Drosophila melanogaster: one gene and its partners. The protein of the gene in region 1 interacts with the protein of each later gene in a pairwise test. Each region holds a gene or a part of one and is shown in the gene's direction. Other genes may lie near its edges.

Region 1 (9,436 bases):
GTTCTCAGATGCCGAGTCGCTGATAAGGCGATGATGGCGTCTCCTACTGCAGATGATCGCCGCGATTATCGGTAGCCCAGAAAAGCACTTTCGGTCGCCCAAAATGCATACGAGAATGCGGCTCTCTCGCGCCGCGTGAGAAATATACATACATAAATATTATGCAGAGAAAGGGCAATCAATCCAGGCATCCCCAATCATCCATCGATCGATCCATCCATCCATCGATCCAAACATCTTAACAAATTATAAGGCCCGAGTGGCGCCCTCTTGGATCGTCGTTAAGTATCTCAACTAGTAGCCGCTAGGCAGCTACAGAAAGTGATCATCTCAACGACAGGCCATCGATCATCCATGGAATACCAAAAAGCAAAAAAAAAAAAAAACGAGAAAAATCCAAATTCAAAACCCCAGATTTTGAGATTCAACGATGCTTTATGCTGGCGTGGTAGAAAGCGTGTTGGAAAATTAAATCATCGTTGCTTGTGGTCTGGACTCCCGTCCCGTAGTTACCTTTGCCTTCCTGCCTTAATGATGCTCTCGACGCACCTTGAGCACCGGCTTAGTATCTACCAAAAACCAAGAAAAAAAACCTGGGGATAAAAAAAAAACAGTGAAGATCTCTATCAGCGGGTTAACTCGTTTAGCATTTAGTTGCAGGCGCCTAACCAGCTAACTTTATCGTGTAGTTTGCATCTTGATGCCCATGCCGTTTTCCCAGGACTATGGATTCTGGACTTGGCCACGCCCTGTCTTATTAGGCGCAGACAGTGTCGTTTATATCATTTATATTATTTTATGACATTTGCCTTTTGTCCGTGGTAAATTATGTGTAACTTGTAGTTTTGGCAGCTCACGATCATCTGATCTTTCGAGCATCCAGGCAGGTGACACACGGGTTTTCGTGGCCACGAACTGGTTAATTAGGGTTGTCCATGATTTATTGATCTGTCGAACTGGGGAAATGTAACCTGTCTCAATGATTATGGACATTTATAAGCTGATGGTCTTTTAATATATGAATATGGCTGGTCATTTTGATGGGCGGGTTATATGTTAATTACCTTTTGCCTAAGAGATTGTGTGGGTTGTTCGAGAGCTTCCGTCCACCCGTATACCCAATCCAAATCCCTTCTCCCCGGCAGCTAATCTTCTCTGGCCCAATCTTATCCAGCACGAACATATGTCGTTGTCAACCTCTGGCAGCTTGACCGCTACCGTTCAGCATCTGCAGATCCAAGGCGGCAGATAGCGGACTCACAAAGATGTCCTCTGGCCGAGGGACTTGGATCGTCTGGCGCCACTTGGCTACTTGAACCGAACAGAGTACCCAGAGCCAGCCACTTGTCGCGTCCTTCTCAGTGCTCTGAAGTACATTTGCTTTATGGAGGAAGGCGCGACGAAGGACAATAGAAAATTATTACTTCAATTGGCGACAGACGACTGTGCTCAGGTACATGCATCTTGAGCAACTAAAGACACCGCCGCCCACGGGACACTTCACACCCAGCAAGGCGAGACACACCGCAAAACGACCTGTCCTGGGAATCCTTGGAATCCAAGGAGCGTGGTCACTTTATGGGCTGTGCCGATGTCGCGTCAACTTATGTGTCTCTGTCTCGATTAGGTTTACTGTCGATCTAGTTTACCATGCACCCGCATGACGCAATTACACCTGATTTATCCGAAGGTCCACCTAGTGTATCTGAACAGAGATCTGCTTGCATCCCACTGTCTTTTGTGTGACATTTCTTTGTCGGTATTTTTGCAGGCGTGAAGCGTTACATTTTCAAATCAAATCTTTTGTTCTAACTGCTGCGATATTTGTATAAAAATATTTTACGATTCTCTGGCGCCGTTCGCTGCCAGAAATCTCCAGTCATCATCATCAGCTGGCCAAGCACCGGAGATATGCCGTCTCGTCCGGATCCGGAGTTGCAGTGGAGACTGGGACATGGGAATGGGCATTACTCGGAAGAGCGTGCCAGGGCGACAGCGAAATGCTAATTTAATAGAGGCTCTTCGACATTGACTTTCTTTCTAGTCCACTGAATGCGAACTCAAGCTTGAAATTATTTGCTGGCGACGAGTCAAGGAAATAAACGCATGTCTGTCGACAGATTTGTCTGATGAATGCACTTATGAGTTGAATCAAGTTCAAGATCAATGGCATTTGAACCAAATTGTATGTAGCTTGTCCTGAAAGAAAATCGATAGATAACTAATCAAATTCTATAATTAGTTCAACTGATTAAAGTAGTAATTAAAGTAAAAGTAATAGTACTAAAAATCGCAAATAAATCTTCACAGAGTTATTGTTTCTATTTTATCCAAATACAAAAATTTGTTCAGACCACAAGAAATAAGGGAAATGATAAAGAACCATTTAAAAATTAAGTTCTATAAAAATGGTGTTTCAAATAAATTGGATTTAAGTTATTCCTTTTTCTTTAAATTACAAATCATTGCATGTTTTCAATTTGCGTTGATGAATAAGTTAAGTTAAGTAAGTAAGTAAGTCTTAATATATTTTAGAATAATATAGCTATTCGTTAACGTATTTCAGTCCAATGTGTTTTAAATGATCAATGGCTCACTAAGTATCAATTATAATACTTCCTGTGAATATAGGAATGTGCATTTCAATCTACTTCCACCCGCAGGCACTTAAGCCCTCAATTTCCAATGCTGACAAGCACTAATCAATAGGCCCTCGAGCCAGAGCCCAAAAACTATATGAATTTCGATTTTCCATTTCTCAGTTTTTTTTTTTTTTGGGCAAATCAATAGCGAGGGCATAGCATATCGAAATTCCAAAACGGGCAATTAACAAAGCCAACAAAATTTATGTTTCACCTGTCTGCAGCAAAGTACATAAATACCCGAGAAATGCCAGACAATGTCGAAGATAGGGAACCCAGCTAATTACACGGGGGCATGGCAAACGACGGAGGGACAGCGCCCAAACGGAAGACGGCTGCAATGGAAATGGCAACGGACATTTTCCGACAGCGCCAAAACCAACAAAAAAACATAAAAACGAAACAGACACACAAGAAAAAAAAAGAATAAACCGAGAGGAGAAGAAAAGGCAACGGCAGCTGAAGACAGCAGACAGGCGCGCTGTGGAAAATCTCACTTCTGAATTACAAGCAACGCCATAGCCCGGCTAAATCCACATCCATATACATACATGCATACATATATCCAAGTCTCCTAACTGACAGTGATCGAGAGGGAGACAGGGAATGCGGCTTGAAGGCAGTGGCGCAGAAAAACACTGCGGCTGATGAAAATCAACAGGGCTAAGCGTTAACTTCGCCACTCGGCTGCACGCAGTTCGCTTTTCCCGCTCCTCCGCTGCTCACAAAATGGCGCCCACCGTCGATCCACCGATCTTCGCCAGAGTGGGACAACACTAGTACCCACATAGCGTAGGCGTCTTCCGCCAGCCAATCACAGGCGCTGCCCACGGAGAACCGGTTTTCCAAGCGTAGCTGCTACCTGCTTGGCATCGGGAAAAACTGGCTGCGACCCACGGCGAGTTAGCACTCGAGCGGAGCTACTCGAGATCAGTTCGTTGCGAAACGTCGAGCGTGAAAGAACCTCAGAGCGCATCTTCAGTTACGAGCGAGTGAATAACAGTGAAGAATTCCAAACTACCAGTTATTATCAGAACGTACTAAGACATTTTACCAAGTGCTATACACCGTGCAAGTGCTTCGAAATGCTTTCCATGCAAGAGCTAATGGATATGCGGATGCAGCAGCAGCTGGCCCACGAGATCTACCGCCAGCAGATCATGCAGCGGATTCCAGGTGCGTTTCTAGACATAAGGTCTATGGGTGTTGATCGAATGCCGTCGGCAAATGGTTTCGCGATTTTCAAACTAAAAAATATGAGAAAATATATGCAACCCAAAAGAGCGTACTTAAAAGTGTTTTAATATTGTGATTATTATTAGTGCTTCGGATTTTATGAGCAATAAATATTCTACTTCAATTTAACTTATCATTATAACTAGAAATTGTGGTCATAACTGCATTGCCTTTATTTTCAATCTTTGATTGAACATATCTTAATAGGTATTATATTCCGATAAAATACAATAGATAGCGAAATTCCAGCTAACTTAGAAATATGATTTCTGCAACACCCACCTCCCTGAAGAGGTCCATTGCAAACCCATGCTAATGAACTAACCAAACCGCTTCTTCCAGATCCCTTTCCATCGATGTTACCTTTCAACATGCCCCACCAGCAGCCGCACATGATGCTGCCCAGTCGTCCCACCCTGCCCGGCGTGGAGGCCAAGTTGGAGAACAACGATTTGTGGCAACAGTTCCATAAAATCGGCACCGAGATGATCATCACAAAGAGCGGCCGGTAAGTTTCATTTTCCCGCGAACCCATTATCCTATGCAAATAGCCCGAGTTTTTCCAAAAGTCAAGTGCGTCGCACGGCCTATGTAAATATTTGCTCCTGTACCAGGGCCAACTTTCCCAATTCCTATCTCATACGAGTACGAGTATGCCTATACCCTGAACCTTTCGATTTCCCGGGCCTAATGTGGCGCCTGGCCATAACTCAAAACGCAGCAGGAGCTCTCGCTCGGAGTGACAACAAGTGCAGTGTAGTCGGCGGAGGAGAACACAAGAGCAAGACGCCGCCCTGGCGCCGGTCCGATCATAAAAATCTTTCTTCTCTCGGTTTCGGCGTTGACAATCGGGTTTGGTCGATCTACCTGCGCTTTTCACACTTTGCCCACAATACCACCATACCATACCATACCATACCATTCCATGCCCTGTCCGTGACCCTTCTCCAAAGCGATGAGACCAGACCCTAGCGTATCTCAGATAGGGGAACTATCGAACAGCGACTACCGAGCGGGAGCCGAGACAAATTTACATAATTATGATCTGAACTCGAAGTTTAAGTTGCAAATGTACACGGAAAGAAATCGTGCAACTACAAGCATTATTTTTGGCCAAGGCTTAGAATATGGCTGGGCATCATAGAAATCAAGAGATCTTGAACATAAATATATATTTGTTATATATATATATATTTCGTAATATTTTATTGAAAATGATTAATATCCAGTAGAAATATTATTTTTCTGTGCTGTTTAATCCGCGATAACAGTCACTTTCTCGGCTCATTAGACATGCATTCGACGCTTGGAAGCCGTTAGGGCGACTCCCAGATTTTGTCTAATTGCTTGGCGCCAGATTGCCCCAGCTCCTCCAGCACTCTGTTGCTCCCCGTGCTCCTCCATGAACCAACGATCCACACAATTAATCATGTGCCGTTGGCATATTGTTTTGGGCTGGCAAGATCTGTTTGCGTTACCTTTTAAATCGATGCGTTGCGCTACGCAGACTCCCCGCTGCCCTCTACTTTTCGGTCCATAATTACACACTTGTTAGCCGGGGCAACAAATCACAGGCGATATGAAGTAAAATAGAATAGATGCCCGGGCGACGCCTTCTTTTGCGATGCTCCTTCCCTGATTTATATGCAGTTCGTGGCAGGCCACTTAATCAAGTCCTATTCTTTTCATCCTTACAGACGCATGTTCCCCTCGATGCGAGTTTCCCTCAGCGGACTGGAGGAGGAGGCCAGCTATTGCGTACTCCTCGAGATGGTGCCCATTGGCGATTGCCGCTACAAGTTCTCCGGTTCCCAGTGGGTTCCGGCCGGAGGAGCCGAGCCCCAGAGTCCGCAGCGCATGTATCTGCATCCGGACAGTCCGGCGACCGGTGCCCATTGGCAATCCCAGGCATTGCTCTTCAACAAGGTCAAACTGACCAACAATACACTGGACAGCAGCGGACATGTAAGTTTGAGTGAGCTCATAGTGTATCTTTTGAATGGGTTACTTATAGTTTCCATTAACATTTCCAGATCGTTTTGGCCAGCATGCATAAGTACCAGCCACGCCTGCACATCATCCGCAGCAGCGAGCTCACCCAACTTCCATGGGCTCCTCAGCAGGCGTTCGTTTTCCCGGAGACGGAGTTCGTAGCTGTCACAGCCTATCAGGTGGGTTAAAGACAACATCCTTTCCGTCCTCCATTGAGGACATGTCTGACAGGACAAAGACTCTGCGGGGGTCGTCGCCTAATTGAGGCATTTTCAAATTTGTCGCCTAGCCAGCCACTTGAGTTTGATCCTAACGAGGATCACAGTGGAACTTTTCAAGTGCCCTCCCAGCCGACGGCTACTTACTGACGCCTCGTAGTTTAAATTTCGACCAGACAAAAACAATAGAGATCGTTTTTCATACTATTTAAATTAGATTTAAAACTACGCGTTTTTTTACATATTTATTTAATCTGCAAATCTTTTTTATAAGGCCGTAAATTTATTTATTGTTCCTTTTTACGATCTAATTGAAAATTCAAGTGTTAAAAGTAATACATTTAGAGCTAATTCGTTTTAAGAATTCATTGTTGTATAAAAACTGATAGTAATTAATCATTTATGTGCTTAAATTAATTTATAAATTTGTTCTCATGCTTGCAGAACGATCGCATCACCAAATTGAAGATCGATAACAATCCGTTCGCTAAGGGTTTCCGCGAGTCGGGTCAATCCCGCTGCAAAAGGAAGCTGAACAGCAGCGGAAACTCGACGCTGGAGTCGGAGGATGATGGCTCCAGTGTGAGCAGCTGCGATTCTCCGCAGGCGAAGCGCCAGCGCCAGGATTTTGAGCAGGACTCAACGGGTAGTGTTTCGCCAGCTTACTATGGAGCAACTCATCCAGTTGCCAATCCTATGTCGCCGTATCTCCGCCATCACTTGAGCTATGGACCCAGTGGAGCTGCCGGATTGCCGCCCAGCATTGCAGCTGCCTATTTTGGTGGAGTTCCTCCGCAGATTCTGCCAATGCCACCAGCCACATATGCGCCAACTGTCGCGCCTGTTAGTCCTGTGGCCTCGCAACCCGTTGGCTCCAGCACACCCACAACATCACCAAGGCCTTCAACCTCAACGAAAAGAAATAGCTTCAGCATTTCAGCCATTTTGGCCTATTGAAAGAAATATTTGGTAAACATACTTAAGTTGGAGTCATCTTCTGTTGTGATTAGTGAGAAACGTGTGCATATACTTTGTAAGCTAATCTATGCTACATATAAGATCGTTTAAGAACCAAGCTGCAATCATATACATTGTTAATTCGTTTTAAGAGTCTTTGGTCAAAATAAACAAATCAGACATCGAATCCGTAGAAAATGCAAAACTATTTGCGGGGGGGGGGGGAGCAACGGTAACCTTCAGCGTTTCCGTTTTTACAGGTTTTTGGCCATATCGCAGTGCCTGGGCCAAAAGCAGTTATGCGACCGCTTTGGCGGGCCTAAGACAAATTAATGCTCTCCATTATGGTGACCAGTCGGTTCTCGAGTCACACGTATCTGAAAAACATCCAACTCCGGTAGTAGTTAAAGCAATTCTCCAAAGATAAGGCGTCCATTATGAGCAGCGATTTGACGGCTTTCAGGCTGTTTGGTCTTTGCCGACTCCCAGCTCCCCTGCGATTCCATCCGCATCCCTGGGACACAGAGATGACGCAGAGGTGGGTGCACGGAGAAAAAAAAGTATCACACATTTCAATTCAACTAAGTAAGTTTTGGCTTATGGTATTGCTAATAGAAATGGTTTTTAAAGTAAATTTAAAGAAAGAAAAATTCAACATTCATCTGATCATTTCAAAATCGAAGCACTTTTCTTGCAGTGCACTTGCTGCTGTTGCCGTCTTGTGAAATTTTCGTTTTATCGCACCTTTTATGGCCATTGGCCAGGCCAAAACGAAGTGGGAGCTGGCCAAGAAACCGAAACAGAAACCGATGCCGAGTCGGTTGGAGAGACTTTGGTGTGGTCACTCCTTGTGTGCATTATCGTGTCAAATGCGACAAATCTGTCTGTGGCCCGGCGGCTGCCTTTCAGCTTGCATAATTGAGCTGATAACTCGGCGCTCCGTGGATGTGTGCGGTCCACTTTTGAGCGTTTCCTAAACGGTGGCGCCAAACATTTCGTGTTTAATATTTTTAATTAAGTTTTTAAGTGCATCCAGAAGGAGATGGGACCACAGAGAATTTATCTAGCCAGTCGTTGCGGATAGTTCAAAGGGGCAACGAATCGATTTGGCTTCCATTCATAGAAATCGATGCATATATTATGCATAATGTAAGCCAAATCAGCGCGAAATAATTCACCAGCCACACGAAGCCGCGTTTCAAGCGGCTTTTTGACTAATTTGGGCTTAGTTTTGTATTAGCGCTTTGTGTTTCTCCTCGTCTTCGATTGGATTTGTTGGTGCATAAATTTACATTTGAAATGCTGAAACAATTAAATTATGGGATTTGCACGTTTTCACCCAAAAACAAAAGGGGCCAAAACAACATCAAATCACATTCGTTGTCGGCGTCTGTGCCTCAGAAGTGTTTTTTTTTTTTAATGTTAGGTGTTTTTTTGCTGACTCGCTGCTGGCTTCTTTTTGAAAAAACGGTGGCAAAAAGCGTCAAAATTCGTAGATTATGAGATAAAAATGGAAATCGAAGTCGCTCCGGTATTGCATTTCTAATTTGCGCTTGTTTTAATATACTTAATGAATTTTTATGTGTAGGTTGGTCCAATACTCATGCCCAAATCCAAATCCGGTTTTCGTTCGAAGCTGTTGATAATGATAATGAGGATAACGATGCTTTATTGAGGAGGTGTTGCCGTTCGGATCTGAATTTTATTTGCGCCACATGTTAGCATATTGTTGTTGCCGCTGCCGCTTTTGTTGTTCTTTATTGCTAATTATAATATATTTGATTTGGTATTTAAGCTTTAAGCTATAAAAATGTTCGCATTCTCTGTTTTACGAGCCAACAGCTTGCAAATATTCAATTAAATTGTGCGAACGAGAACAGGTCGAGGTGGATTGTGAAAACTAATCATAATTAACACACCTTTTTCTATAATGTTCTAAGTATTTTATTGAAATAAAAAAAGTCAAAAGGAAATAAAACATAGTTTTTGGTTTTGATGGCTTCTACACCCGTATTAAACATATTATATAATTACATTAGTAATATATATCTTAGAAAGTCTACATTTAAACAGAAGAACTGAGTGTTTTAAAACCAGTATTTGAGCTACCAATTTTCGATGGGTTTTGTATACATTTCTTAAGCATTTCCCTGTATTTTACATATTTTACGCATTATTTTACACATAATATTTTACATTTGCCATGTATTTTACAATGGTTTGGAGCCGTGCTATATGAGTACACTATCAAACAAAATTGTTTCTTAAATGCATTATTGTATTTTTAAAAACCATTAAGTGAATATCATATAACGGTTCTTTAAAAAAGTATCAATGAAAATGATTTCTTTACTTTAGCGCAAAACCATAGTTGTGAAAACAATTTTTAAA
Region 2 (8,352 bases), on another chromosome or scaffold:
GAAATGCAAAAAGAAAAAAAATAGCAGCAGCTAATTTGCCGCCGGTTTGGGGCAACTAATTTCATATTAGATGGGCGCCCACGCTACAAAATCGCAGTTTTTGCTCGTTTCCCAGGCGCATTCCTGCGGACACCGCTCATTAATGACCATGAAATCTAGACTCTGCCCCGGAGTCATTCCCGCAGACTGACCTCCAGGCACGAGCCGCCCAGAAATACGGCTAACAGCTAACAAATCGGGAGCAGCTTCTGTTCACCTCGTTTTTTTTCTTCTTAGCATGCCACCTAATGATTCGGTGGCACGCATCTTGGAATGCGACGCCTTTGGCTGGATGGGTTTTGGGTTTTGGCCATAATTTGATTAGGCAAAAAGTTGATGTGGGTGTCAGTCCGTCTAGCAGCCTCTCTTTCAGCTTCCCTCATTCCGTCGAAAACCGGACCCAAATCATACCACAACTCGAACTGGATTCCATTTCAATTACAATATAAGCGAGTGTAAGTTCTGCGATTGCGATCGCATTTGGGCGCATGGTAAACCAAGTCAATCGGAAGAAGTTAAGCCGATTGTCCCGCCCCTTTTCATTACAGCTCGTTTTTTGCACCCCCTGGCAGCCGCCTAATAAAACCGGAGCAAACCCACTTCCGTTGCTCATTTGAATGCCCTTTGATGGAGGGTATGATGAAATATTGCATAGACTGGTAACCTAAACTTTTTACTTTAGAAACAGTCATGAAAAATGTATCTATAATGTATTTAATGTTCCAAAACGTACCAAATTTATATAGCTATTTGTCTTTAATTAGATGGTCAGATCATTATTTAATACATATATAATTAGATTTCATGTTTGGATGGATTAACGTTTAAATTATTATAGTTACATTATTATTTTTAAATTAATTTTTTTTTAATTTAGTGAAAGCTATGCATTTTAGAGATCTGTTTGCAACGAAACGAGCTTGATCTATTTGAATTATAGGGTACTTTCTCTTCGAGTTGTATCCTTTAACAGTTTTTTACAGCCCAGCTAAACGCACTTCCCACACAGATTTGTGTGTGTGCGCCTTAATTGGGGCGTAGTTGGCTTTTTGGGCGCGCCGACCCGGAGTTTGGGTAATTGCTGCCACTTGAAAGGCTCCGGGTCGCATAATCGCCTTGTCAGATAGGGCAAGACACACGTTGAAGGACCCGCGGAGGGGGTGGCCCATGAACAAGCATACTGGGCGTTGGGCGTGGCCAGTTGGGTGGGCCAGTGGACTGAAGGACCAAAGGACTCTGTGCCAAAAGAGACAGAGAGGTGTGTGTTGATGCCACCACGCACGGTTGACTCGCTTGATCTTATTACGCCGCGCTTGGTTGCCTGGGAAAAGTCAGAGGCAGCTGCTCGGATAGCTCGGATGGCTGGTAAATGGCAAATGGTTACCGGCAACCCGGCCTTTGTGACAGTTTTATCTCTGGCCAGCAGAAGCTATTGCCAAGCTCTTGCCATCCTCCTGCCATGGGAAAGCCATCGCGCTGAGTGGGCCTAAGAATTTTGCATGTTTTCGCACAGGTTTTTGTGGTTTTTGGTAGCAAGTGGATTTGCATACGCCACGCGGCTCCAAAAAACGGGTTAGGCTTTAGCCAGTCTTGGTGGATCAGGAGTTCCCCCTGCTAGGGACCATTGATTTCCTAGTCATGGCAACTAATTTCCATTCATCATGTTCGGTACCTCGAATGGATCAATAATCCGGACTCCTCCCTTGGAACAATCACAAACAATGTGACAGCTTTATCTTTCAGCACCAGTCGCCGTCGCAGTGAAAATCCATTTCCAATTGTGAATGCCGAGCGACAATTGTCGAATTCAATTAACGCCTGCGGCACCACCGAGCGTTACTTAACGCCGACACCCACCCAACGACCTCCGCCTCCTGCCGCTCCTCCTACTCCTCCTCCTCCTCCTCTCCCCCGGGAGTTTCCAGCGGGTGGGCAAGGACGAGCCGTAGCTGTGGCCGTAGCTGTGGCTGTTTCGCCAGGGTAACGGCTATGCAGTGTCACAATGCGGATGTGGATGTGGATGGGGTCCTTGGAGTGGGCGAGATACATACACTATCAGTTTCTATGAACCACACGATGCAGGACGTGGGCGGGGGGCGGGAGTGAGAGCGTTTGCGTGCTGCGTTGCCTCCGCCGATTGGCCGGAACGCGGCTGCAACGGCAACGCATCGGCTGCGGAAACGGCCACGGATAAGGCTACGCTCTGCCGCAACGCTCTCTGGCCGGAACTCGCCGACCATCCACACCAAATTCTACTACCCCCAGAGCGTTCACAGAGCGAAGGCGGGCTGCACGGACGTCATGCAATCGCACAGTGGAGCAAAAGTTGCAAGCTGGATTGTACTGAACTTGCTCGGTTTTTGCTCATAACATTAAGTTTGTGTACCAAGTTAGAAAAACAATTTTGACACTAAACTATTAGTTTCAAATCAGGTGGCTCATTCTTAACATTTCAAAGTAGCTTTAATGTAAAAGGTCATGGTATCATGCTTCTATAAGGTTTCCTTTCTTCCCAAATATATTACAATGTAATCCTAAAAAGTTTTGAACTCTTAAATCACAAAGATAGTTTAGTTAGCTGCACTTGAGTATCATCACAATTTTTACTACTAACCAACTAATCAACTAACCAGATTAGCAATGTTTATCTACAAAGGTAACTGCGTATTAGTCACTCTCTGAATATAGTGGCTTTACGTAATTACCCCTAATTTCAATGCGGTTTTCTATGCTGTTGAAATCGACCTAGCCCACTAGCCTCTAGCTTCACACTTGACCCACTGTGCCCGTGTCGATTTCGCTCCCGGAGGACGTGTCACCTGGCCCCCACCCCTGCTGCCGAATCTGGCCAATGGCAGCTCACCGTCGGCGCAGCGTGCGACGCATGCGCACCGGGCCAGCTCTCTGATTGGCTCTCATTGGCTGGCGGTGGGCCAAATGGGGCTGAAACCGACGCGGACGTCGCAGCCGTGAAAAACCGGTTACACCAGAAAAACGGTTCGTCCGTGAGTCCGTGAACGCTTGTGTCAGTGTGTGCGGGCCGCGTATTACGAGTGTGTTAGTGAGCGGCGGCTTTTCGGTGGCGTTTTGGGCCGCTCTGCTTGGCGGCGCTTCAGTAGAAATTGTCGGCTGATGGACCGCGGGCGAGGCACGAAGCCAACTCTCAATTTCCACTGCTACCGCCACTGCCACTGCCACAAAAATTGATCGAATCGATGCGCCGGTCCCGCGATTCGCGTGCAGTTAGTCGAATTTTTGACGGTCGAGTGACAAGGTGCGTCGCGTTCCGAACTCCCAAATAAGAATCATACAGAAGCCATTAGCCGTCGCGCCTCCGAACTGAGTAATCGGCCATTATCCGCGGAATAAGCCACACGGTGCATGCAAAACTCGAGCGGAAAGTGTTGTGCTCAAGTGATCAAAGGATTCGAACCAAGTTGCGGCAAAGTTATTGGATAGCCGGCGAATTCAGTGCTCTAAGTTTAAGGTGAGCACATCTTTTGAATTATATATTTCAAAAGTATAACCATCTAGGAAAGATACTATTCATGGAAGATTATCCGTTTTTGGTCAAGCTTTTATGCTTGCACAACGTTTTTAAATTGAGCTTCACCAAGTTATGTTGAATTGGTAAAGTTTAAGTGTTCATTTGCTATCTAGATTATAAAAAATAGAACATAAAAAGATAAAAAACTAGCAGATTCAAGTATCTGTTATAATATTCCATAGATCGTTTATAACGAATTGTCATTATTATTGGCATAAATTAGTTAGAATACATTTGCTTGGATCTGAAAATAAATTTGAGCTTTTATTTGAATCTGCTTCATTAAATGAAATTAGATGACAACTTTATTAGTTCACTGACAAGTTTTTAGATTGTATATTTTGTTGATTTGGATTTTACGCCAGATGTGCTATCTCGTTTTCTACTCGAGACCAGATAAGCTTAATTGAACTTGGTGAAAAGTGCACACATTGCATTTTGAGTGCAGACACATTCTAATCCGTAATATTATGCCAACACTTGACAAAAGCTAACGACGATGACTTATCGGCGTCTTAATTAAGATCTGGTCGCATCCATCGACCTGCCCATAATGACCACCATAAACGATCGTAATCAATTTGTTTGCGCATAATTTGCTTTCTCAACAACTAAATCATTAAAAATCGAGTCGCTCCCGATCAGGTTGCGGCGTTTTTGAAAGACTTTAATAACGATATTTGCTTATCGAGTTCGACACATCGGTCTCAAGTCCGACCTCGTCCCCCCAGACCCAACGCCCTGCCATCGATCGGCTTATTTCTTAATGAACGACGATCTGATCTAACGGATCGAGTCTGAACGGAACCAAACGGGGCGATCTTCATTCAACCGGCGGCGTTAGTTTCGGCCAAGATTCGATTCCAATAATATTCGAATAATATTCATGTTGTGAATGAAGTGGAAGATGCCACCGGATGGCCTGAATCGAATTTGCAATGCAAAACTACGGCCAATTGAACTTCCGCCGCACCGAGATAACTCATTTAAAGCGGACCAATCGATCGTTGGCCAGACTGCCAACGATCGATGACTGCCTTTTTGGCCAGACTTTAGTTTTCCCACGACCACGGCGAGCGACAAAAGTCAAAAATCGTATGCTAATTAATTCTTTGTCATGCCGTCGTTTCTGGCTGCCATTATGGCCCATTGACTTGTGTGCTTTCTAAGCCAAAGCCCAAGCCACCGGCTTTCGGGGCTTTTGGCCATCGGCAACGAGGCAACGAGCCGTCGGACAACTTACTTAAGCGTGGTCCAGAAAGAGCAAGCTAATCATATTCAAATGGTGAAGCGTACGTTTTATTATAATTTTTTTATTTTAATTAGCGGCTGTTAATGCCCCGCTTGGCTCTGGCTTCGATCGATCCATTGATCTGCGGGGGGGGCAGCAAATGATAAAAAATAAAATCAAGGGAGAGGGTTCCGAAACAGAAGCTCGGCCAACCTGTCGGTTCCACTTTCGGTAATCGCACGAATTTAAATTATTGTATGTTTAACTAATTTCTATCGGTTTTTATGTCTGTTCCGCTTGACATGTGCACGGAGCTAATTGAGACTTACGAGTTGAGGATTGTGGAGAAATCGGTAGCACTTGGGGAAGATACTAATTATACTCGTATATTATCCCCCCTGAAAACCAGAAAGCGGTTCTCGAGAACCCAGATTAGCAACATCCCTATATATATAACTCGCAATTTGGCCTCAAGATCGCATTCAACATTTAAAATTGTAGCCGTTGTGGATCTGGAAAAAACCTTTGCTACGCGTTCACATTTTATAAGGTCTCTTAAAATTAGAGGGGATTTTTTGGTCTCACCAGATACTTTGGATCACTGCTTGTTAGTTAGATTAGATATATTTCCAAAAGTAATACCTCAAATTTAGGTTTTTGTGTTCTGCAAGATACATTTTTCAGCATTCTAAGGATGGATCGTACCCAATAATTGATAATTAACACGTGTAGAAGTGGCAAAGCAAGTGGAATAGTCGCATATTTCTAGGGGTTGCTACTATGTCCGGAACTATTTAGTTTTGACTGCTCACTGGCCTCGATTGGGCCACGAAAAATTCCAGAGAAATGGGCGAGCAGCACGCCAGAGGGGAAATTAACCCTTTCATTGCGGCCAAATTGGATTTGGCCGGAATGTCTATTTCACTTTCTACAAAACCGAGTGGATTTGCAATCCTTATCGCACTGTCGGCCAAATCGTGGCCCCGGGCCAACTGCTAACTTTATGGCCTTAACGGCCAGCACGAGTTTCCCGTTCGCGGTGAGTGGTAACCGAAAAACTGAGACGGAGACTGAGAAGGTCCAAAAAAAACCTAATGAACAACTTAATTTCGAGTTCTTTTTTTCTCGTTCTGTTTGGTGTTTTTTCCGTTTTTTTTTTTTATTTCAAAGGGGGAGTGTGTGGTGCGTGCGGTGGTTCGGTGGCTTAACACGCGCATTTCGGTGGTTTTACGAGCTGAAAAGCGGCAAGGGAGCTGGACGAAGGACTCCCGGGCTCGGCAATTAAATCAAATGTGAATTCCATAATAACATGGCCATGACAAAGTGTGGACCGTCGGCCGGCAGTGGCAGTTACAGTTTTTGATTTATACGGTTCTTCAGCGCGTTTTCATGCCTCTGACAGGCTGGCGACAGGCTCAAATCCTGGCCCAAAAAGCATTAAGTAGAAAAAAAAAAAAAAAATAAAAACAGGAAGCGGAAACCACCGGCCGCAAGTTGGTGGTGCTGAAAGCCCATTTGCATATCTCTTTTGGGCCGGTTGCATATTTAACGAAATGAGCAATTGGCCAAAATTCATTTAATTGTTACCCCTGCCTGGCTAACTCTATACTTAGGAGTACGACTATAGCGACCTGGCCTAGATGGAGGGGGGGGGGGGGACCTTCTCGATAATGGGCCAGCAGTTCACGCTGCGCTCGGAATGTGCCTGATAAGCAGCTAATTTGAGATACTCCCTGGCACTGGGCGCTGGGCAATGGCCAGTGGTAACTGGTCACTGGTCACTGGACATGGCCATTGAGCACATAAACCACTGCACATTAAAACCTTCGGCCGCGTAGTTTTATAAAATAATTAAGTTTTATGTATTTTCCTTACTAGATTTTCACTGGTTTTTGGTTTTGGTCTTGGATCGGATCGGTTCTGGCCGGGCCTGGACGCCGTCCGAATTCGTGGAAGCCGTAAAAAGTCTTCGGGGAGTGGGCCGCCAGCATCATCCAGCATCGAACATCAGTTCGAGCAACGCCATTTGGGCCTGAGACTGAGCATCCTAATAGCCCGGCGACCACGACGACATCCATCAAAGCGTTTTTATGACGTTCTTGCTTGAAATTTGATTAAAATTCAGCGATTAACTAAGCAGCAGCAGCAGCATCAGCAGCAACGGGACGAAAGACAAAAAAATTAAAAGACTTAAGACAAACAACCAACAGCAAATAAACCAAAATACTTTACGGAGGCTAAGCGACTGCGAGCGACTACCGATAGCATCGGATCGTATCGAATCACTTTCGGATTGAATTGGATTGGATTGGCTCGCATTGAATTGAATTGTTGATCACATTTCAGCCATGCCGCATACAGGTGAGTCTCGCTAATGAACTTCAAAAGGAAATTAAACGAAAGCATCAGATGCCATCTCCAGTCGCAGTCCCCCATTTCACGTACTCCCCCCTGAATAACCAAAAACTCGAGATCCCACAAAGAGCCACGGTTATTACTGGCGCACTTTTGCCGCCTGCGTTTATGACCGCGGGTTGATAGGAGGGGAGAAAGGTGGGAAAGAGATTAGCCAAGTCAACAGGGCGGTTGCCAAACTGCGGGTATTTGGCCCAGACGCGTGTGCCCACTGTAAATCTTCCAGACTTTATTCGCTCTATTGGGAGGCTTAGGCGCTTTTAATTCCCACTATAAGCTCCATTTGTCTAGCAAAATTTACTTCCAAATATATGGCTTAACACTAACAGTTTAAGACAATACTTTCTAAGTATCTGTAAAGAAGCTGCTAATCTTGTTAATCTTGTTCAAAGCGAACTTAAAGATGGTTCTTTTCAAAGCCTTTAAATGTATATTAAATGGGTGAGGAGTACGTATTGGGACCAGGCAAAAATATAGTTTATTAATATCTAAAATATATCCTCTTCCTTTCAATCCTTTAGGTCAAGCTGGAGTCAACCAATTGGGCGGAGTTTTTGTGAATGGCCGTCCTTTGCCGGACTGCGTTCGTCGGAGGATCGTCGACTTGGCTTTGTGCGGAGTGAGGCCCTGTGATATATCCCGCCAGCTTCTGGTTTCCCATGGTGAGTTTATTACATATGACTTCCTTATACTTCAGATAAAGTAATATATTTTGTGCTTTTCTCGCATAGGCTGCGTTTCCAAAATTCTAACTCGCTTCTATGAGACGGGCTCCATTCGACCGGGATCCATTGGCGGCAGCAAGACCAAGGTAAGTGGGCTCCAAGCGGGAACGGGATTGCGAATGGGGGATGGTAACAAGATCTGGGGGGACGGGAAACCACATGTGGTCCGCTGTGGTGCATGAAATCAACAAACGATTATATAAAAATCAAACGCACAGCAGTAAATCCATAAAGTATCACAGATACACGGAAAGCAGATAGCCCAGATAAGCATTGTAACCAGCAGCTAGTTTACATGTTCTCGACATTCGATGACAGCCTTTATGGCCACGTGTGGGAGTGGAAGTTGGGTGAACGGTGAAGGAGTGGGCGTTCGAGTGCAGAGAGCGCAGCAA
Region 3 (6,995 bases), on another chromosome or scaffold:
ATTTATTGCTACTGACCATTTTTAAGCATTTTTGTTTTTAATGAAACTAGGTTATGCCTTTTACTAAATAATACAAATACAAATACAAATCTTCTTATCTTCTTCTTATCTTGAAATCTTCTAAATATTTGTCGGATATTCTATTAAAATTATATTTTACCAATTGTATGGTCACACTATATCGCTCACCTTGGTGAATGCAATGCAACACATGTTCACTATGAAGACCAACCAACAAGCAAAATAGATCACAGATATGTAAACACTTACTCATAAAACGTAAAGTTACAAATATAATGTCAGATAAGTGCGTATTATAACATTTTCTATAGCTGCATATGACGATGCCACTGTTGGCAATCGAATGTAAATACTTTTGAGCAGATTGCCAGCTAAGAATGAATTCAACCAAGTTGACAAGTTAATGCTCGGCATTTTGACGGTTTTCACTACGGCATCACCTGCTTCGGGCAAAAGCCAACGCCAATACCGCCCATCAAGCCACGAATATCGTGAATATTTAAAGGGCAGGCTTCAATATTTCAGCATCGCTCAACCTTGACAGCATTATGAACTGAGTGCGACTGCAAGTGGGTAGCGAGTGGGATGGTAGGTGGCAGGTTGCAGGCTGGTGGCTGGTGGCATGTGGCACAGTTGGGTGGCAGGTGGCAATATGAAACGCTTGGATGGCGCAGAGCAGTGCAGCGTCGGATGCTGGAGTCAAACCAGGCGTGTAACCGAGGCAATGGAGGCGATACTCCTTCCACGTACTCAATTTGGCCCCTTGGGTGCGACTGCTGGTGCAACTGTCAAATCTTTCATGAAGATATAACCAAAGACCCTAGAATAACAAGATGCGTAACGCCATACGATTTTTTGGCACACGATTTTTTGGCCGTGGCTCTAGAGGTGGCTCCAGGCTCTCTCGAATTTTTGGTAGAGAGCGAGAGAGCGAAGAGCGCTACAGCGAACAGCTCTTTTCAACGCACAAAGTGATAGCAGACATCTGTATGTGTGCACACGTATTCACATGCATTGTAAATTTGAAAAAATATGCCCTTCACCTTAGAAGTTCTTTGGCTTTAAATCTATATTATTTTTGATCAATTGGCACCATGCGAAAAATTCTTGTTTTGCATTGCCTTAACGTTATTATTATTTGAAAATAGATTAGAAATACTCAAATCTATGTACATATTATCACAAAAATAAATTTCAAAAATGACTTTATATAAGAATATTTGTCATTAGAGTATTCATCTTGCGGCGTGTGAAAAATTAATAAGGTAATGATTGTTGAGTGCTTGTGTCCGCACTTCGTGCCTCAAGATATGAACAAAGCAAAGACACTAGAATAATTCTATTGTCTTTGATATTACTTTTGCAATTTCATTTAATTGCATATTTAATTATTTAGTATATTTATTAAATCATTTGACTTAATATGATGTAACATTAACATTAAAAGTGTTTCAAAAAAAATATTTAGCTTTTAAAAAATTGTCAGATGAGAGAAAAATTAGAATTAAACATAAATATAAATGTGTAAACGGTAGCTAATTCGAGCGGCAATTTTAACAAACAAATTTAAAAAGCTTTAAAATTATAATAGTCAGGGCGCGAATTTTAAAAAATTTTTTTATTTTATCATATTGCTAGGAAATTGGCAAAAACTACCCTAATATGTACCATGTAAATTCGTTTCTTCGATCAGAATTGATTTCGGCCCGAAAATCGTCTTCTAGCACAACACGCACACTTATACGCGTTCTCGTCTCTTGTTTTTACTCACACAAGCAAGCAAATTATATTTTTAGGTTTCTTACGCTCTCAGCGGGAGTGAGCGGAAAGAGAGTAATTTTGGCCGTCACCAAAAAAGTGGCTGCATAGTGCCAAACCAATGTATGGCCGTTACGCATCTTGTTATTCTAGTGTCTTTGATATAACTCACTGCCGGTCCAATGAGTCGTCGTCTCATTGTGAACCGGATCCGGATGTGGATACAGCTATGGCCACGTTGACAAAATTGGGCTGCAACGCATCTCAAAACGAATGGTAAGCTTACCCACCCATTGTTGGCCAAAAACAGCACGTAATGGTGTATTAATTAAACTTCGACCCTTCGCCCTTATCGCTTTTTGGCAATGCCATGACACAAGTGTGGAAAATTGCTGTGTTTCACATACATAAGTTCAATGAGTAAGCAAAATGCCTCTAAATACGAAAAGCATATATTGAATGACCAAAAAGCAGCTGAAAAGATTACCCATCGAATTCTGAAGACTTATTTTATTACATGGTTGCTGTGTAAAAGTTTTCGCTTTGTGTGGCTATGCAGTGGTAAAAATTTACTTCTTTTCGGATGTCAGCATACTATCTTGGTTTCATTTCGATTCTGAAGAGCTGGAGAGCAGAAGTCATTGCTCCAGGACGAGGTTAGCTATCAATCAGGGTTTAAGAATTAAAGTCGTCGTGGGGAAACCGGGGTAAAACTCGCTGCTCGACAATCATTTACCGAACAGCTTTTGGCTTTCACTTTTCACACATACCGCAATTAATTTCCGTTTGATTGTTTGTCTCTGTCCGGACTCCACATTCAAAGCCCCACCCGGAATCCTATTTGCTTTCCACACGGCGAATGCGATTTAATTGCTTTGGGACCCCTGCTCCCGCGACTTAAACTCAGCTCTGGTGCTTTTACTTTGCTTTTCCTCTCGCCCACACCCGCACTTTTCCCACACTTTTCCCACACTTTTCCCATACTTTTCCTGCACTTTTCCCGCATTGCACCTGCAATCGTAAATAAAGAGCTAAGCGTGAACATGAAGGTGAGGAATTGCAGCTGCAAATCGGAAGAGGAGGAGGCTGCCGTGTCAACAACTTTGCCGTGAAAGTTTTATTTGTTCAGTTCATTTGGTGCTGCTGGCAGAAGCAAAACATTATATGGCACATTCATAAACACCCGTGTTGCCGGGCGATGTCAAAAAATTGTGAATGGTATGGGGATTTTCTGAGGAAAACACTAAAAAAAAAAATCCTTGAAAACTTTGTTTGCCTTTTTGCACTTAAATAGTACACTTACTGCACTTACTTTAAAGTCTAACTTAGAATGTGCAGTGTCATGAATTAATGAAATAGCCATAAGAATTATTAATTTACCAAAATCTTGAATATTCGCGATATTTGTGTCTCTCATTTCATCGTCGAAACAAAATGTACCAGCTGGCTTTGAAAAGAATGCCAGATTAATGTCATGGCTCATTTCATAAGTTAAAATCATCTAGGTAGTCAACACACACAATCGACACAAAATACACACACACCGTTTAAACAAAAGTGAAAAAAAATAGAGGAAAATCGAAAAAAAAAAGAATCAAACAGCGAAACAAAAATCATAACTTGGTATTGTATCTAGCTAATTAGAGAGTTGCACTAGAATCGCGTGCGACTTGAACGTCGAGAAGTGTATAACAGATCCCTAAGCAGCACATCACTGCACCAGAGTCTCATTGGATCGCACCGAGCAAAGTACAAAATTCGTAGGTTCAAAGTTCAAAGTTTACGGTTTCCGAAGGACTAACCGAGAATCCAACCACGGACCATCCCGTCCAGAAGGCCAAAGGTAGCAACCAGCAACGAAGCTTCAGTATTGAGCCACTTTGATAACTGCTTCCAATCCGATTTCTTTTCCACTTTTGATAGTTTTATATTCAGGTGAGTTAATTATCACTTATAATATAAGTATTGTTGTTAAATATATATAAGAAATACTTTTCGGCTTACTAGATCCAAATAATTATAAATACACTCAGTTAATTGGCTGCATTCGATATTTGCCTCATAGATATCCCGAACCGCTGCCCTTCCAGGATGGTCATCAATCTGAATCCGTCCACCTCTTCGAACGCCAATGCCAGCGGTAGCAGCGTGGGTGGCGGCAGCGGTGGCGGCAGCGACGGTGGCAACGGCGATGGAATGAGCAGCGCTGGGAGCCAGAGCGGCAACATCATTGGCGGAAACGGAAGCGGAAGCGGAAACGGTAACGGTAACGGTGATGGTAACGGTAGTGGCAACACCGCCGGAAACGTCAGTAGCGGCACCCCCAGCAACCTGATGGGCATCATCAGCCATGAGATGTTCGATGGTATCGTCTATCTGCATGTGGTATGTGCCGGTGAGTCAAGCTCCAAGTGGGTCACTCTGGAGGAGGCGATGGCCTACTGTCCCAGCGGCGTTGTTGCCTACACCAAACTGCAGCTGGCCGAGATTTATGGCATACCGATGGACGTTCTGTTCGACTGATGGTGATGCATAAACCAGATTCTTCGTTGAAGCGATTGCAGTGTACCGCACATGGACGATGGTTTTGATGGATTCTTGATTAGCTCCGTTTGGCTTGTACGGTTTATAAGCTGGACCATGGCAACTGTCATTTGAACTTTGGCACTGTTGGCAAAATCTAGGAATTCAGTATTCGCCAAATACGTGGCATTGGCAATATAACGTCGATTGTTTTTTCTTGCTACATTCCCTGCTCTAAATTTTAAGTTCCTGGCGTTAAGTGATTTTTCCGAAGGCAGCAATTACTAGAAATAGTATACGAATCTGCAAGGTTATTCCGTAATTAATTGCAAAAAATAAAAAAAAATAATAATAAAATAAAGGAAATTTATAAAGAAATCTCTATGGACAGTATGGGTGCCATTTACCTTGGTCACTGGCCGCTTCACGTGCCCCTGTGGCATTTGTCAGTCGACTCGGAATGCGGGGGTGGAAGATGAATGGACTGAGCGGAAGTTTAAGGAGCCTTTGCCACGCAGACACCACACGGCGTATGCGTAATGCGGCCAGCCCACAGAATTTGGGCATTTCAATTGCAAATTAGCCAAAAGCCAACGTCAACGGTCACCACGCCCACACCGACAGCCGCCCCCTTTTGAAGTGCGTCTCGACTTTTCTTTACCATTATTTTTCCCTCTTCTGCGAGTGTGTGTGTGTGCGTGGCAATTTGAATGATTTATGTTGATTGCGTATAATTGCATGTTGTGTCCTTGTCCGCCCCTTTGTGCCCAGGTGCGTTTGCCGGCCACGTGACAAATTCAAATCCCCGTCACCGCTTTACACTCCCTTTTCGCTCGCTTGGTCGGTCGGTCGGTTGGTTGGTTGGTTGGTTGGTTGGTCTTGTCTCGGCTTTTCCATTTCCCATTTCCGCCCCACCACTTTGCCGCTATTCCTAACCTCAGACATTCTGCGGCGCATTGTTGTTGCCGCTTTTATGACGCTCCATCTGTCAGCGGCTTGTTGGTTGTTCAGTTGGCTGGCTGGCTGGCTGGTGACACCGTGCCAGGACACGGCAAGGAGCTGGGGCATGGATAAACAGGACCCATATCCAGGCTGGCTGCTTATCTAATTACGCGCCCAAAAGCACGCAACACAAAAATGCCAAGCAAGTCGAGCGAGGCAACGACGACGACCAACTTGTCTTTTGCGGCACGACGCTTCATTTTTCTAATGCCATTCGCTGGCGGCGGGAATCGGTGGAAAAGCGGAAAATGCGGTGGGTCAGGATCTGTGTGTGGAGCATGGCTGACTTTTGCCAAATGGCAGGCGCTCGCGCATTTATTTCGCTTGTAAACGAGCGCAATTTGCAATTTGAGCGCGTCCGCCTCGCGTGTACCTTCCCTACTTTCTCCCTTGCTTTTATAGCAAAAAAAAAACCAACAATAAAAAAAAAATACAGCCTAAGAGAGGAGTGTACTGTCCGCCCCCTCAGCCATTTGCAATTGAATATTTATTTGCATTGCCATGGGCTTCGTGTCGGGTGTGGCGCAACTAAAAAATTATTACGCATACGCAGCGTTGCCAGCGGGGGAGAAACTATAGCGAATCAAATCGTATGAAAGGTATCTACCTAAGTGTGACCAAAGTGTTTTGGTGCTTTCAAAAATAATTTCGAAGGTTCGCAGGGAATCGTTTTGATTTGAATTAGCAGGAGCCTTAAATGTGCTACAACTACCTTTTTACATCAACTAATTACATTCGTGTAATTATTTTCTCCGTTAAGGCAAACAGTTAAGTGACAACTTTTCACAGCCTGGCCACACTAATTTTGCAAAACTATTGTACAATTGATTCCTTCAATTGCCTGTATGTTGTACATTATCCAAAGTTGTAATTAAATGTGAATGCTTTTTCCAGCTATTCGTTTGCTGATCACACTTTGCAACGAATGCAACGTAATTGTTTCTCCCGAAACTTCCTGTGCCCTGGTCACACCAATTACGTGTCATCCGGCAGCTGGAAATTAGAGGCCAGTTGGAAGTGATGCAGCACCACCACTAAGCCACCCACCCGATGGCCGATGCAAAAGGCAAGCTAATAAAATGTACTTTATGCCCGAACGTGCGTTGACTGTAAAATCGGACTGGCAGCAAAAAGGGAGAAAGTGGAGAAAGGGGAGAAAGGGAAGAAAGGGCCATATCTCTTGTTTCGCTCGCATCACGCGGCTGCCTAATTATAATTTTGCATTCTGCTGCCGCATGCAAAATTCATGGACGCGAAAAGTGCGGGGCACGGCTGTCATTCCAATGCTGTCCACCGAATGTAATGTTAGCATAAAAGTTGACAACATCCGGGGTCAGCCTGAGCCGGGGTCAAAGGTTGATCAAGGCGAACACATCAACGTTAAGCGTTTTATGGCCAAAATGTGCGTTCCATTTGAGCAGAGACCACTCCCAGGGTTTTCCCTCGTTTCGTTTCGTTCTTTTTTTTTTTTTTTGTTTTTGCGCTGATTTGCGCAACTTTCAGTGCCACATCCACTTCCGTTGGCTGGCTGCCGTTTCCGTTTTCTGCAAATGTTGCAAATCTTCGCGAAAAACTTGTCGTAAAAATATTTCCATCAGCCAAAATAAAGCAGAAGCAATGTGGATGCGGATGCGGATGAAGATGAAGCTGCAAGGACCAAAAACGAGCAGAAGGCGGCAGGATTTCCACGG
Region 4 (8,330 bases), on another chromosome or scaffold:
ATACAGCAGCTGCAGAAGCTACTGCGTGCTCTACAGCTGGAGAGGACAACACTGCACAAGTGCCTGCGGGATCACGAGATCGAAATACCCGCCCTGCCGCAGTTGCCTCCTGAACCAGAGCCAGTAAACGTCAAGCCAGTTAGTGCTGAAAATGTTAAAATGGAAATGATGTCTCGCAATTGTGCGGAACTGAAGCAAACATTGGCAAATCTGCAGAACCAAATGAAGCTGCTAACGACGAATGAATCGAAGACTTCCATTGAGGAAAAGAAGAAGGCCGAGGAGCAGCGTCAGGCGAACAATGCCAAGAAGAATATACGCAAGAAGGAGAAAAAGTCCAAGGCAAAGGCAGCAGCTGCAGCGGCGGCGGAAGCTGCAGCATCCACAACGAACGGTGAGGCGAACGGCGTTCAGGAATCAGCCGCAACGGAGTCAAAGGCCGAGCTAGAGGCAGCGGGTGATGCCTCAAACGTTAAGAACGAAAAGGAGCAGACCGTTGACATTGCGACAGACACCCAGGAGCTCGTAGGTGATGGCGACGCTATCACCGCAAAGTCACTTGTTGATATATCCGAAGTGCCTCCCCTAATCGATGCCAATGCCAACTAAACTACTGACTGTTCGCCTATAGTCCCATCTCCAAATCTCGGGCGGCCACCAAGCCTTCCCTGCAAAGCATTTTGTGTCATCCATGTCTCAACTGAAAAACGTCATCAATTACAAACCTACATGGTCCGAATTTTGTACTAGTTATTTATTGTACTTTGTATATTGTATTTATTTAAAGGATGTCGTCGGTGATCGTGTATTGCTGTTCAACAACAAATTGAGTAAAACGTGTTTCCTGCAAACAGAATAAGAATATTAAAATTATTTCTTTGGGTAAATATTTGCAGAATGTCCTTCCAAAAGATTTAAGCATAAATCTTAGCCCACATTTCGCATCAATTTGCATAAGTGGAGTGGAATGGGAAACTGCCAGAGCGCACAAGCTCGATGGCCATGGATTGCTTTCGTCATTGTTGGCGACGCCACAAAGTCTAGTGTTGCATGCAACACATTGCAATGCCAACAGGCGAACGGATGGGGGTGGCTTCAACGGTGGTGATGAGTGGTGAGTGCCTGCGGTTCGTGGCCAGGGTCATTATAATTGCGCCTTAATTATTTTCAACACGCAGCTGTCATTTTTGCCGGGCCCCAGATTTCCGCCATCAAATATTTAAGACGCATGCAACGTGGCGTATGCGTAACGCCAACTGCTGCCAGCGGTCACTCGGTGCGGGCGAGGGTGTTGAAATAAGGCCAGTTAAGTCACTAAAATAATTACACAAATTAATTTAAATTGCATAAAGAGGTGCATACGAAAGAAGGACTAATTATGCCAGCTCTCAAGGCAACAACTGTTTTTACCCCTTTTTTCACAGCATGTTTTATGTACTGTACCCTATATTGTTAGGTCCCCGAGCGTTCTTCCATGGTCATTAGAAATTTAATTAAAAATTTTGATATTGTTAGGAGTATAGGGAATTCTATTTATTTCAAGCTTCTTCCGCCCGATTGCCCATTAAGCGGTATTAAAACTGTCTTCCCCTCGGTGCCAAAGTGTCATACTTGTGCATATTTCACACCCTCGCTCGCATTCACAGAAATGTGTGCACATTTCGCAGGCAATGAGCTTTTGAACATTTAATGAGTTAATACGCTAAATTTGAAAGCCGCTCAAGCGTGCGCCAAGTGCTTCAAACACTTGTCCCCATCCCCGAGCTGCCCATTTTCCAGCTTGAATAATGAGAATGGGGGTATCAAGCCGCTAAATCCAGCACTGAAAAATTTTTCATCAACTTAATAGAAATGTGTTTATTTTTTAATAATATACATTTAGTTTGTAAGATATGTGAAATAAAATAATTTCGAGTTATTTATGAGAATTATATACGAATAAAAGATCAAAAAAATAAAACTAAATTTTTCTCAGTGTACGCACACACGCATATGCAAAACACTAAGCACTTGTCATTTGGCTGTAAACCCTACGCGTCCGTTCGTTGGTATAAAAAAAACAGTGCAAATGTCCAACAGACGAGCATATGTACATACATATGTACACTATAGGTATGTGCGATGTATGTACATATGTACATATGTGCGAAATGGAGGATTGGTTGGCTGTCGTGGCGTCGTATTCATCCTGAACTCATGGGTGTCATTTCTCAGGACCCTCGCGGTCTGCAGGATAACAGCAGCGTAACAGAAGAAGACCCTCACTGGGGACCAGGACCAGAAAAGTAGAGGCTGCCAGACTGCCTCACTTTTGGCGTTCAAGTGAAAGGACGAAGTCGCCGACACTGGTGTGGCAATACTTTTGGCAGCCAATTGTGCGGGCTGAGCAAGATGAATGAGGAATATGAGTGTTGCTTGCACAGTGGGCTACTTTCAAGGGTGTTGGAAGATTCATAACTATCTTAAAGATGCTTTCAGCAGTACTTCTTATGTGCGAGATATAAATTCAACAATTTCTAGATTTTGTAAATAAATATTTCCTTCTCTTATCCAAAATCATTTATAATAAAATAATAATTATTTTATTATAATATACAATATAATAATAGTTGTCATGAATTTAAATGTCACAAACAGGCTGTCTTTCATTAGTAACATATTTTAAAAATTACTCATACGCCACGTTGTCAGTCAAGTAAATATATTTGCCATTTAAAACAGCTCTTCCAATATTATTACAATTCAAACTAATTATATGCGTTATGTGGCTACTTAGTCCACTGTAACCGCCGAGGGCTATGCTATACCCTATGTGCCGCCCGCAACCCAAGTGAGTGCGCACCCACTCTCCGGCGAACTCGCTCTCCGTCTCCGGCGGAGTGGCTCCGGATATTTCGGCAACAGAAGCCTGGCTGCGATAGCCGGAGATTTTCCGAGCGAGGGAAAACCGAATGCCGAAGCGTCGCTGCTGGCAAACATTTTCCATTTTCGCAGTCCTGTAATCAGTTGTGTATAGGACACTCGCGTGCGCGCGTCGAACGGTTTCTGGCTTTATTTGTGGGAAAAGTGTGTGTCTGACGGCGAAACGGTAAACGGGGAAAACGCTGCGCGGTTTTTGCTGCTATCGAGTTCTTCTTTTGCTGGATTTTATATATGGAAACGATTGTTGCTGCTGTATCATTGCAGCTTGCAGCTTTAAATTTAACTTAAATGCTAAAACATCGTTTTGAAAAGCAACGCGAGAGTTAGACAAACAAGTTGGAGGAAATTTTCCAGCTACAGCTACAGCTGCTGCCTCAGCCAGCGTCGCAGTCGCTGTTCGAGATAAAGGATATGCCCGGATCTAAAAGATACAGTTTTTCCTCTTGTTTCTTTTTCCGCTGCTGCTGCTCGTGCTACATTTGCTGCTTGGCATTTTCCGCACAGCAACAACAATCGTTGAGACAGGACCGCAAGTTTTGCTAAAATGTAACATAACACCAAATAAGCAGAGTTAGGAAGAGTGAGCGCCAAATAATGCAAATAAATGAATAAGCCCAAATCATTAACAAATTAAAACGAGGCACGCAAAGGAGGGCAGGAAAATATAAATATCGAAAGGAGTCAAGTCAAGTGCTTTCGAGGAGCTGTTTGCTGACATGCTTTGAGGTTAATACCACCCACCACCACCCAACCGCCCACTACCACCCATCTCAACCATCAGCCATCACCAACTCCTCCTACCTCCCTCATCTCCGTTTTGGCCAATTTCTCCGTCTGCTTTCGCCGCTTTCTTCGTCAACGCCGCTGCTGCCGCCGCCGCCGCCGCTGCTGCCGTCACCATCAAAAGGCATCGAAGGTAAATATATATGTTATATTTTAGCCGAGTGTGTGTATATAAGTCAATGGGCCAACAAACTAACCTACAAAGTAAACAAAAGCGTTACGCTACAAATGCAAATTTTTCGCACACATGCTCAAGAACTATAAACAACAACTCATTTAACTGACGCCATGCCCCCATAAAAAAACCAAAAACAACGCAGCTTAAGACTAGAAATGAAAAAAAAAAAATGGAAAACAAACAGTGAAAAGGTGGAAATGGCACGGCAAATGAAACACAACAAAGCAAAACGCACGCTTCTAAAGCTATTTGTATAAAATTTTAATCGCATGCGATTTATTTGACTAGGCGCCAAAGTCGCACGCACGCACACCATCGCATTTTCGCAGAGGCACCCACACACACACACACGCAGGCTAGTGAAAATTCACACACTCACCTTGAAAAATGCGAAAAAACAGTCTGGAATATTTTGTTTATTTTTCGCAAAATTATGGAAAATATTTATGGGCTCTATTTGAAGTTTGAGCTGTGCCAGGTTTTTCATTCAATAATTGAGGAAAATAATGAAAATGTTTAAAAAACGCATCAAAGAGTATTTTTGTGAGATTATATTTAAAATTGGATGTGAGGCTTCGATTTACTATTGAAATGTTAATTTTCATATTTATTTAAACAAATAAGAATCTGTGTTTGAAGACGCACCTGGCTGCAATTGTTTACTGTTTACGGCACTGTGAAAATATATTAAATTGTTCATACATATTTTTAACTTTTGGCAGAAGTGTCGACAACTTGTTTATAATTTTCCAAAATAGTGAAGCTTTACATATGTTATTTTTTAGCATTGCGGTAATATATGGGTGAGAATCGAATATACTAACATATTCCTTGAGTATACGATTTGTTTGTTTTATTTTCTTTAACAATATTACAAAATGAATTATTCCCAGAAGTGGTAAAACTCTTTTTACATGGCGTTTAAATTGCGTCATTAAAAATTCCCATTATTCAACCCAATTTCCGTGTCATTTAATCCGTGACAAGCTGTTAAAAGGAAACAAACAAACAAAAGTTGTGCGCAACAATTGATAAGCAACAAAAGCAACTATCGTGCCGCTTGGCAATAAACCATAAAATAAATGCCAATTCCATTTAGATGCACAAGCCGATTAAAAAGTCAACTTGGCATAGTTTTCCAACTCGTGCGACATTGATTCGTGATTGATTTGGTCATATTGTAATCTAATTTCACCGATTTGAAAAGTAACTTCAAGTAGTGTAAATCACATTATGTAATTAATCAAATATATGGAGATTTAATATATATATTTTAAGCGATTTTACACGACAAGGTCCTTGCCAAACTAAATTCGCTGTCATCTATTTATATAATCCCTGGCCAACTATTTTAAGTGCTTCTAGCCGAGAAAAGCTGCATCTGCATCCTAAGAATAAAATGAACTTGGTCGCGGGAAGCTGGATGAAAAACACTTAACGCGCAACTAAGCGACAATTGTTGTTTTGTGTGGCATTTAAAAATAGAATCAAGGTGCGCTCTAGTTTCATTCATCCACACACAGAGACATCCCCACTCACACACACGGCGCACACACAGATACAGGTACAGAGCCTACATAAAAGTGGCTGCTGTTGTTTTGCAAGTGGGTGAATGCGGGGCAAAGGGGCGGTCGCCGGGATGTATGCTACACGAAACTGTAAATAGAAAAGTTATAAATAAAATTCACACGAGCCAACATTGAAAAAATGAACTTGGAAACTGTAAAAAATAAAATAAAATATAATAAAAACCTGGTGAGTGGACGCCATATAATGGCTGATCATTCAAATATTCAATTATTGGAATGAGCATCGATGACAGCACACAAAATAAATATTGGTAGATGATATATGTTAAATTTAAACATTTTGTGCAGCACATCTGGGCACTATTACTTACCGGTTAAAGGTCAAAACACCTTGGCCTTGGCCAAAAGGAAACTCTAAGGAAAACGCAAAGACACGCAAGGCAATACCAAACGAGAACCGCAGCTGTGAGCTGCAAAGTGATTCAACGCTTTTCGGCTATAAAGTGCCTAATCACTTTGGGTGTTAGATGTGTGGGCCATTCAATGACACTGGTAATTACTGGCCCAATCGAATGATATTGTCTTGGCCTAAGTGAGTAATGAGCAAAGGGCGTGACAATCGCCAAACGTCCAGACCTCGTTGAATAATTAAGCCTGTTCAAACGAACTGACTTTCAGTTAAGTAACTTGCACCAAAGGCCACACAAGTATCAAGTTACCAAAGAATATTATAATAAAATACCAAAAGTGTTGTTCGCATTTAACTTTTTTTAAGTGAAACCATACATTTGCGTTAAATATTATTGTGTTATATTTTCTTCGTACATAATATAACCACGAACCATTTAAAGGGCTTTAAATATGTATATGTAAGCATTTTATGCCACCAAAGGCAACCGCAAGCCATTCCCAGCGTGAACATCAATTTGCTAGCATTTGGCGACCATTAATGGTCAACTTATCGTGGAAAAAAATACTCCTCCTCCCATGGTTAAAGCCATAAAACATGCGTGTGCAGGCATCGGGTGTGCTACATACACACATATGCAACAGCTAGGAAAAAAAGGAATCGTTTAGCTTTCAAACAGCAACAAACTTGAAATTTATATAGCCAACCGCCAGATGTGTCTATAAAACTTGCACATCCCCATTCATCCCATACGAACATTCATTTTACGGAGGTTTTTCCAATTTTTTTCTTTCTTTGTTTCCCTCTTATATTTTTATCACCAGCTGATAAGAGCAAAGTTTGTCCGAAAGTTAGCGCCTGTAGCCGTAACACACATACGCCATGTGTTACAAACATCCGATGGAAAGCAAGAAAGAAAAGAACGAAACGAAACGAAATTACCCGCAATTTCAGAAAAGTTAAATGTCTTTGCAGCCGAGCATTTTGGTAACATTTTTTAATTGCCCCACTGGGGGATGGGCGGAAATCCACATTTACAAGCGAACATATGTTGGTAACATGCAATTAACAAGCCAAGTCCAAGCACTCTGCTGATGAGTAGATAGCTCGTGCAGGTCTCGACTATCACATACCCGGTATTTCTCTATCTATAAAAACAAAATGATTCCATTCTTGAAACAAATCTTTTTTTCGTATAACCATACTATAATAAACATTCCTTCCATAGTTAAATCATACACTAGGTTTTTTGAAGTAGCCTATTAAAAAGAGTGGCAACAACTATGCTCAGCCACCCACGCGGACCACTTACAGGCATTAATTACTATGTCGGGCCTGCCAAGTCAGCAACGAGCCACGAAAAGTTGAAGGACCAACTGGAAAAAAATATTGCATACTTTTCGGAATTTTCCCCCCAATTTGGGCAGTTTCCACGCTTTTCACTTTCTCTCTCTGTTTTCTGACAAGTTGTATGAGTTGCGAGAGTTGAATGTTTCTTTTTATTGCCATTGCCATTGTTTTTGTTGCTCTTGTGGCCCGTTGTTCTTGTTTTTGGCAACATTTTTATATTATTTGGTCGGTATATTGTTCTTGTAGATTTTCATGTCCATGGCGAACAACAAATGTTGAGGAAGAAGAAAAAAAGTTTGTTATGTAGTGGATTTTTCGCAGAACAACGTTAAGTTGAGAAAACAAATTCCCAAATATGTAATTGGTTTTTGAGTGCGGCGGGTAACTATAGTTCTGAATATTCGTAATGTTTTAAGAGTTGGCAAGTAGAAGTATCTAAAAATGAATCACAAAAATTTCGACTACTTTTTGACAAGTTTAACGGATATAAGGAGACAAATTATGCCACTTCTAAGCAATTATGTTGTGTAAGCCAATTTAACTTGTTTCGATCGAATTTGACTTGTCCTTGGCGGAAATAAATTAAGTCAGCTCATAAATTAAACCAATCCTGGCAAGACTCGCGGCTCATACACCCACGCAGCAATAAGTTCATGAACATATCTCGGCATATTTATAGCTTTGCCAAAGCCCGCTAAGCTTTTGCCATTTTGGCCAAGAAAAGGGCACAGCCACAGACCGAATGATTGTCTGCAAGTTGGCGCATATCGCCGAACCGGAAGTTCCGGGGGCCAACAGGGTTAGCGGGTGGAAATATCCTCGAATATCCGTGGCTCTCTTTACAGATCTGTGTGTGTGTGCGCGCCGATGTAACGACTTATTGTTCAGAATTTCGCACAGTTGAATACCAAATTGTGAATACCCAACTACTCCCCATTTTGAAGTCGTTGCAACTATTTTGGCAGTTTCCTTACAAGGCTTTTTGTTGGCCTGGCCAACAATGAAGTCAGTTTCTTGTTGGCCATTGCCAAAAATAACTGCATTTTCTGGACGAGGGAGTTAGTAAAACTTTCCCCATACCCGGAAGTGCAGCGTGGAAACTTTTTTATTGCTTGCCTGCCAGTTTGCATAGAAGTCTCTAAAATTTCTGCTTGCTGCC

Evidence for each region.
Region 2: the proteins of Doc1 (region 1) and Poxn interact in a two-hybrid assay, tested with the Drosophila melanogaster proteins (one large-scale study listed by BioGRID).
Region 3: the proteins of Doc1 (region 1) and CG9106 interact in a two-hybrid assay, tested with the Drosophila melanogaster proteins (one large-scale study listed by BioGRID).
Region 4: the proteins of Doc1 (region 1) and CG5890 interact in a two-hybrid assay, tested with the Drosophila melanogaster proteins (one large-scale study listed by BioGRID).

Annotation. Positions count from the first base shown.
Region 1 is NT_037436.4:9,037,813-9,047,248, forward strand, and holds Doc1 (Dorsocross1), read left to right. Parts: upstream 1-3,562; 5' UTR 3,563-3,727; coding exon 3,728-3,818; intron 3,819-4,016; exon of another isoform or gene 4,017-4,085; intron 4,086-4,220; coding exon 4,221-4,386; intron 4,387-5,575; coding exon 5,576-5,843; intron 5,844-5,911; coding exon 5,912-6,049; intron 6,050-6,532; coding exon 6,533-7,045; 3' UTR 7,046-7,230; downstream 7,231-9,436.
Region 2 is NT_033778.4:15,829,857-15,838,208, reverse strand, and holds the start of Poxn (Pox neuro), read left to right. Parts: upstream 1-3,153; 5' UTR 3,154-3,526; intron 3,527-6,695; 5' UTR 6,696-7,165; coding exon 7,166-7,178; intron 7,179-7,753; coding exon 7,754-7,894; intron 7,895-7,963; coding exon 7,964-8,043; intron 8,044-8,352. UniProt on the Drosophila melanogaster protein: Transcriptional regulator that specifies poly-innervated organs (chemosensory bristle). Also controls the number of neurons.
Region 3 is NC_004354.4:15,268,706-15,275,700, reverse strand, and holds CG9106 (uncharacterized protein), read left to right. Parts: upstream 1-3,295; 5' UTR 3,296-3,714; intron 3,715-3,786; 5' UTR 3,787-3,870; coding exon 3,871-4,302; 3' UTR 4,303-4,665; downstream 4,666-6,995.
Region 4 is NT_033777.3:25,853,136-25,861,465, forward strand, and holds the start of CG5890 (uncharacterized protein), read left to right. Parts: upstream 1-3,018; 5' UTR 3,019-3,838; intron 3,839-8,330. Other genes in the region: CG5886 (uncharacterized protein), read left to right, coding at 1-609.